Linked DNA regions of Daphnia pulex. The protein of the gene in region 1 purifies or fractionates together with the protein of each later gene. This does not show direct contact. Links are inferred from orthologs where the notes say so. Each region holds a gene or a part of one and is shown on either strand. Other genes may lie near its edges. The genes, in order: striatin-interacting protein 1 homolog and striatin-like.

What was found.
Region 2: the proteins of striatin-interacting protein 1 homolog (region 1) and striatin-like purify together in Drosophila melanogaster (affinity purification with western blotting; 4 studies listed by BioGRID, with this or other methods). This does not show direct contact. The link is inferred for Daphnia pulex from reciprocal best matches to the Drosophila melanogaster genes Strip and Cka.

Annotation. Positions count from the first base shown.
Region 1 is NC_060018.1:2,549,361-2,553,807, reverse strand, and holds the start of striatin-interacting protein 1 homolog, read left to right. Parts: upstream 1-1,382; 5' UTR 1,383-1,553; coding exon 1,554-1,631; intron 1,632-1,687; coding exon 1,688-1,804; intron 1,805-1,860; coding exon 1,861-2,144; intron 2,145-2,205; coding exon 2,206-2,381; intron 2,382-2,454; coding exon 2,455-2,619; intron 2,620-2,683; coding exon 2,684-3,073; coding exon of another isoform or gene 3,074-3,142; coding exon 3,143-3,297; intron 3,298-3,362; coding exon 3,363-3,479; intron 3,480-3,561; coding exon 3,562-3,689; intron 3,690-3,843; coding exon 3,844-4,071; intron 4,072-4,144; coding exon 4,145-4,316; coding exon of another isoform or gene 4,317-4,379; intron 4,380-4,447.
Region 2 is NC_060020.1:3,948,741-3,951,889, reverse strand, and holds the end of striatin-like, read right to left. Parts: intron 3,111-3,149; coding exon 2,980-3,110; intron 2,905-2,979; coding exon 2,700-2,904; intron 2,628-2,699; coding exon 2,458-2,627; 3' UTR 544-2,457; downstream 1-543. Other genes in the region: barrier-to-autointegration factor-like, read left to right, coding at 1-66, 148-294.

The DNA.
Region 1 (4,447 bases):
ATAGAAAGAGGAGAATCGAAAGAAGAGAAAAAAGAGATCAGGTCTGCTGACTTTAATTTGGAGACCAACAGAGAAAGTTTTGACCAAGAAACGACGCCAGATCTCTCCGGGAGAAGGTCACGATGAGTCAAGACTTTCTTTGCTCTCTCTCTCGTCTGTTTTCATCTTTCCATCCTGTTTGAAAAATCTCACCGGTTTCTCCTCTCCCTAGTTTTCTCTATTTCAGCGACTCTCCTACTCCGCGACTAGGAGACTCTCGTTTGGTGTGTTGTTCATCTCTTTCTTCAGTCTCTCTTTTATTTTAGCTCGACCGTGAGCGTCTGTAGAGGCTTTTATTTTCAGCTCCAGACACGGCGTCTGACGACATCCGTTCAGTGCGACAGTACTGCAAGCCCAGGGTCTTTAAACTTCAGGGAGAGAGGAAAAAAAACACACACACGAAATAAAGGTCGAGTATCATACGTGACCCAAATAAGGTTTCTCGTCGATACCCGTCCTTTGGCTCTTACATGTTCGGCAGTCCCGGCTGAACACATACGTTTGCCACCATGTGTATGTGTAACTTCATCAGTTCAGGCGGGGCTTTTCCAACCTTCGCAACCTCCTTTCTAACCCTCTCCAAGTTAAAGCATCGCGTTACAATTTGGTCCACGCTCACAGACACGATGTCCACCTATTGGCTGCATTGAGCCATGGCTAATGGGCTTAGGAGATTTATTGTTATCAGATTTTTTCAGTTTTTTATTTTATATTTTTTTCCTTTTCGAGTTTCTCCTGTAATGGAGGTAATTAAAAAAGATACGTACCGTCTGAATAGTAATAACATCGTCGAAATCCAGGACGATCGATGTGCAAGCTGTCGTTTGTGGTTGCTCTATGTATTCCAATTCCAGAGTATAATAGGAGGAAAATAGCCCTTGTGGTTAGAGATTTCCGAATTTTCGTAACGGTGACCTGTTTTGACTCCAGGGGCTTCCATCGATTGGTTTCTCTTGGATTCTAAAATCCAAAAAATCGAACCATGTTTTTGTCACGTATAGGCAATATTACACTTTTGGTTCTGCTGTTATCGATCGTTCGCCGAAATGTACGATTCAGAAACATTATCCTTGATCCTGTTTGAATGTACGCAGTTTTGCTTTTGGAGCAAGCTCAATTTTTTTTAAAGCTGCATATTCCGTTTTTATTGTCTGCCATCATCGACCAAGTTCCAGATGATTTCAAACCGTACAAGGAGATCTCTGGTTTTTGGCCGAGGTTTGGTTTGGAAGGCATTGGCTGGTGGACGTCGCGCGGTTGGCGATAAATCGTAATGAATGCCCCCTCCTCCAATCAAGGATTCGACGTCTGTTCTTTGCTTCCATCGTGAAGCGTCGTAAACGCTGTCGAGACAAAATCAATGATGCATTTACCCTAGTCGAGTTGTAATCGTGGCCGCTAGGTGGCCCCACATTCTGAGAGATTGTTTATATCCTTTCTGGAGAGGGAAGGGAGATGTCAAAAAGTAATTTTGTTTCATGGTATAAAAATAAACTGGCCCGAAAAGTCTGAAAATGGATGAAGCCGGCGGTGCCAGGCGAGGCCCACCTAAATTGCGAGAGATTCTTAGAAGACAGCGTCAAGATTCAGAGGTTTGTAAATTTATTTCATGAAATTGGATACATCGTATGAATTTTTATCGTCATAGGGAACTATTGACTGCCCCGACTTGGATTTCGTTTATGATGATGCTGACAAACATCCTAATGAAACTGCTGAGCTTTACAGTTACACAGAAGGACCAGAGTTCCAATCAAATATCAGAGTATGCCTGGCATTTTGACCTAAAGATGCTGATCAACTAAATTCTTTTTTCATCAGGCATTTGAGGAGTTGATGGAACTCTTCCACATTAGACCCCATTGGCAAACTTTGAATGATTCCACTAGGGTAAGTGTTCTGCTTAAACTAGCAGAACAACTGGAGCTGAGTAACAAAGCTTTGAGGATAAAAGCAGCTCGAGCAATCCTCTACATTGCTCAAGGTTGCTGGGGTGAAGTCCAGAGTGATGCTGAGCAACAGCATTGGACTCGAAGCAATGTTCTCTTGCTGTACAAAACTGGAATTTTTCACACATTTCTGGAACTGCTAAACTATGAAATTGAGTGAGTACTACATATCCTATTATTACAAGTTTATTTATTAAAAACAAACTTCTGAGTACAGAAACAGTGGAGCAGCAAATACTGCCATAAGAAAATTAGCTGTCAGTCTTGCAGATAGCTGGGATCTTCGTGTAATTCTGTCGGTATTTTACACGATCGTTGAAGTCTTCCGCTCCTCCCAAGAAGAGGACAGTGACGAATTCAAGAAGATTCAAGAAGAGTTTCGAGCTGAAATCGGTAAAAAACATTCATTGAGTTACTCTGTATTAGATCCTTCATTGTTTCTTTTGATCATCGATGATTTCATTAGCTCAGCCCATCAACGATGAACTGTTAGCTGTAAAACTTCTCAGTATGGTCACAAAATTCTGCAGTGGATCTTGCCCGCATTTCCCAATGAAGAAAGTATTGCTGCTGTTATGGAAAGTGCTGCTTGTATCTCTTGGTGGAATGAAGGAACAGAGAGAGTTGAAAGGTTTGTGCCAATTGTAATTTCGTCCATAATCATTTCCATCTATCATTTCCTCCCATCTTTTCAGGGAAGTATCGTACCGAGGCAGGTCTGGCATTGCCAATAGAAGATACCATCGAAGTAACACGGACCATGCGCGCTGCTTCACCTCCTGCATCAGCTGCTGATCTGTTGGAAGCTCAAAATCAGAAACCGGGTCCAGCTGCCCGTCCTTTCCGACGGGTAAATTCTTATCCTTTATTTAGCATTCGATTTGTGACAAATTGTAATCTTGATTTTTCTTTGCAGACCCTAGTCAAACAGAGTTCCTTAGATGAATCACTAACCATGGAATTGGACAATAACGATCAAGCCGATGATGAGTTGAGGGAAATAGAAGAACGAAGAGCCATGGAAGAATCGGGAGAAATACCTCAGCCACCAAGCCCACGACCTACGACACCAGCACCAAGAAAGGGTAGCATTCACTATAAAGAACAAATTAGCACCGGAAAACAAAAAAAAATATATCCTTTCTATCTTTTAGCACTACCATGGACACCGAAAGTTCGTCAAAAGGATATCGATCAATTTCTCGATACCACGCGAATGAAATTTGTAGGTTTCATGCTCCCCAACGATCGAGTATCATTAGCAGGACTTCCTTTGCCAATTCATGAGGGTGTGCGTGTCTTGAAACAGGTAAGGCACGTGTAAAACTGATTCCATCCGTTCATTGTGAGTAATGGTGATATTATTTTGCATAGCACACTTACTTTTCGTTGACGGAGATCCAAATCCAACGAGAAGAGGACATTAACAAAAACCCGGTTTCCAAAGGGCAGGAGGACATAGCGTTGACTCCGGCGGAAATCCTTTATCAGGTCTAATTTCTGATCCTTTCTGTTTGCAATATGTATATATATATTATTTCTTTTCTTTCTCTTTTCAAAATCTGAAATACAGGCCATGTTGCCGAGCTTGCCTCAATACATGATTGCGCTTCTGAAAATTCTTCTAGCCGCCGCTCCGACCTCCAAGGCAAAAACAGACTCTATTAATATTATGGCAGACGTTCTGCCCGAAGAAATGCCGTAAGTGTTTTTCTAAGAAAAGAAACGTAATTTTGTACCGATGGCCATTTTTAGAAAACGGGGAAATCCATTTGTGCCGACCCCGAAAAAAATTTCCCTCGCGCCTCAAGGCTACCATTCACTATTAATGCGCCATTTTTTGCCTCTTCTCTAGGATGACTGTTTTACAGTCGATGAAATTGGGTATTGACGTGAATCGACACAAGGAAATCTTGGTAAAAGCCGTAGCCGCCATCCTGTTGCTTCTCCTGAAGCACTTGAAAATGAATCATGTTTACCAGTTCGAGTTCATGTCTCAACACTTGGTATTTGCAAACTGCATCCCACTCGTACTCAAATTCTTCAATCAGAACATTATGGCCTACATTGGCGCCAAAAACAAGTAAGTAGTAGACGATGATTCATCAGTGTGTCGATATTCTTTTCCGGCTGCTAAACGGTTTACGTGATTGCAGCATCGCTATCTTGGATTTCCCTTCGTGTGTCATTGGCGATCAGCCAGAGTTGACCGCCGAGAGTTTGGAAATTGGTACCAATCTTCCCTACTGCTGGCGCAATCTCTTCTCATGCGTCAACCTTCTGCGCATCCTTAATAAGCTGACTAAATGGAAACATTCGCGCATCATGGTACGTTATCGATGTAGGCGTGTAGACTTAATCTTATCATTCATTTACATTCTTCAAGTCATGGTGATGACTGCTTGTTTTTTTTTCTGTTTTGTATGCGAGATTTCATTCTGGTTTGTTAATTTTTACAT
Region 2 (3,149 bases), on another chromosome or scaffold:
GTTACAGATCTTGCTGGTATTGGAGGAGTGCTAGGAGATCGTTTAGAAAAGAAAGGCTTTGATAAGGTAAAAAAAAATAAATTACACTCTCTCAATACCAGCAAATCAATATAATTCAATTTAATAAAATCCATTTAACATATGCAGGCATCTGTTGTATTGGGACAATTCCTGGTCTTAAAGAAGAACAAAGAGCTTTTCGTGGATTGGCTCAAAGACACAGCTGGAGCCAACGCCAAACAAGCAGGAGATTGTCACCAATGTTTGTCAGATTGGTGTGATGAGTTTTTGTAATCTTTTACCATTGATGTTGATCGGGTGTTCTGCTATCAGTCTCAATTCACCACCACCTATCGTAAATACTTCCAGCACACACAGCATACTCTTAAAACTTTTAATACCTGCTCGCCGCTGCCTTGGTGGAAGGGCACTGCATCGTATATATTTTAATTACGCATGTATGTATGTCCCTATGAAATTAACATACAAGTTATATTCTGGAAAACCAGCCATTAGTGGTTCTTCTAAATAAAAATCAAAATATAATTAGTTCAATGTGTATTTTTTTTTCAATCAGACAATGTTTGAAATTGAGTTTTTTTGTGGGAATAGGGGAAGGTGGGGAATAGGGATCTTTCACGCACACTAAGTCGGGGCCCTAATAATAGACTTTTTGTTGTTCGAATCGTAGATTACATTGAGAGAACATGGTTGCAGCAGCAAGAATAGCAAAATCTACCCAACTGATATCGTCACACATTTATCCACTTGTATTTCTTTTTTTGTATTTTTCACTTGACTTCTTTTCTTCCACTTGTTCCTTCTCTTCAGTCAACGATTAGTAGGCGATGACAATTCGACGCACCCAAAGGGAAAAACCGAACGTCTTCTTTCATTCATACTTACCAAGTAGTTTTTCCTAGTCTCGTAATAATAACTACAGTTGGAAAGGGACAAGACGGGAGGGGATTCAAATTTAAAAAGAACGCACGGCAAGCAACAAGGACGTTTGTTATGTGGGAGGAGGTGGGTGTAAAACATTATCAGTAATTTCCGGAATAAAACTTTTCCCGACTGATTTTTCACAGACATGCACGAGAACCCAAACTCTTGACATTTTTTAAAAACAAACAATAAGATTTCCAAACGCCACATTGAAGCCAACCAGAGAAAGGGAGCTAACAATATTACACGAGACAAACGCTTTTTTTTTTCTTCATTAATCAATTTGCCTTGAAAGTTGTTCTGAGTCACTGAATAGGATCTGATCTAGGATATCCCCACAGAATCATTCGCGGAGCCATTGTAAGGGTTGCAACCTCCTTGGTTTAATGCTCACAGCCGTAAAAACCAACCTTCGCGAACCACACATTATTTGTACAGTTTTTTTTTAAAGAGAAGACGAAAAACTGACAACAGAAAAAGGCTACTTTAACACTGAGTTAACTTTTCTTTCGTGTGGATCCTTGGAGAACGCGAGGGAACAGAGGAGTTGGTTTCCTACGATTTCTTTGTGTGTAAAGTAAAAAGAAGCTACAAGTTCTATGAGACATGCACACGGTTTGAGGGCCTAGTTCTATATATATATAACTGGTGGGGTGGAATATTTTCTAAAAGACGTTAAGTTATTGAACTCAAGAGGTAATGTCAGTAAGAAGAGAGAAAAAAATCGAAATATTTCTTCCCCCCTTGAAACTAGTTGAACGGAGGAATTGAATTGTTTCGCTTTGTCTTTTTACAAATGAAGTGGGGCGGAAGCATGGGCGAGATAGATATTACGAGACTAAAGATAAGAAAGATGGAAAAGATACAAGTTTTCCAGACAGACGACGGGTTAAAAGTACAACGTTATTCTTCCCTCAAAGGTTTATAGCTAAGGTCGGAGTCGAGTTGTGAGATGATAGAACAGCAACAATGAACAAAAAAAAAGGAAAAAAAAAAACGGAAAATCAACGGGACTGGGGGGTGTAGAATCAAAATTCAGAAGTCTTCTGAGAGTTCACCAATCTTTTTATCTGATGAATTCACGTTGTTGCATTTTTTCTCCTTATTTTCCTGTGTCGTTTCCTCCGTTGCTGGTGATGCTGTTGCTGTCAACACAAATTATACCGAATCGCCATAGATTGCACACGGGCTAGTAGTCTCTTATCACTTCATTGCAGCCCTGGATAAATTGATTTCATGTTGATAGATATCTCTCTGATCGGCAACACTGCTGTATATACTGCCGCGTTCTGTGACTCGAGCATATTCGCACATGCGCGCTGCATTTATTCATCGACTTTCTGTTGAAGCTTTTTTTTTGGTTTGCCTTTTTGTTTTTGTGTTTTTTGTAATTTTTTTTTTTTTTTTTTTTTTTGTTGAAGTTTCTTCTCGCAATTTAATTTTTACCATTAAATCCAACAAAAAAAAATGGCATTCTCCTTTCTTGTTTTGGTTATGAGTGTCCTTTCTCCACTAAACAAAGACTTTGGCCAGGGCGTCGGCTCCAGCCGAGGCTATGAACGGCTTGCTCGGATGGAAAGCAACGTCGAAAATAGACTCGTCAAACTTTTTACGGTGCGACGTGATCTCTTGAACGCATGTCTTGTTCTCCAAATTCCAAAGTCGAATGCTACAGTCGTGACCTGCAAGTTCAATTGAACGGATGGCGTTAAGACGATCAAAACGTAAAGAGATTACTGTCAACAACGACATACTTCCGGAGAGTAGGTAAAGCCCATTTGGATCGACGGCCAAACAAGTGACAGCGTCCAAGTGAGCAACCATTGCGTGTGCGAGCTTCCCTGTGTTGTTGTCGTAAAAGCGGATATGTCGATCTTCGTGGGCTGTTATGGTCAACGGAAGTGTAGGATGTGAAATAACACGATTGATCTGCCGTCCAAACACTGAATCCTCCACTCCCTGGGGGAAATAAATGGAAGAGTCAAATATTAACAATGGCCTTACGAGGGATGCATGTCGGGAAAGAGTATTAACCTTATCTGTGTCGAGCCGAGTGACTGGTTGACCCGTTTCTAGGTCGAAGAGGATACAAGCGGCCGAGTTGTAGGAAGTGACCATTCGGTTAGGATCGTCACGGACAAAATCCACAGAGGTTGGTATTCCATCTAACAACAGATGAAAAGGAGAACAATGTTACCATTCAC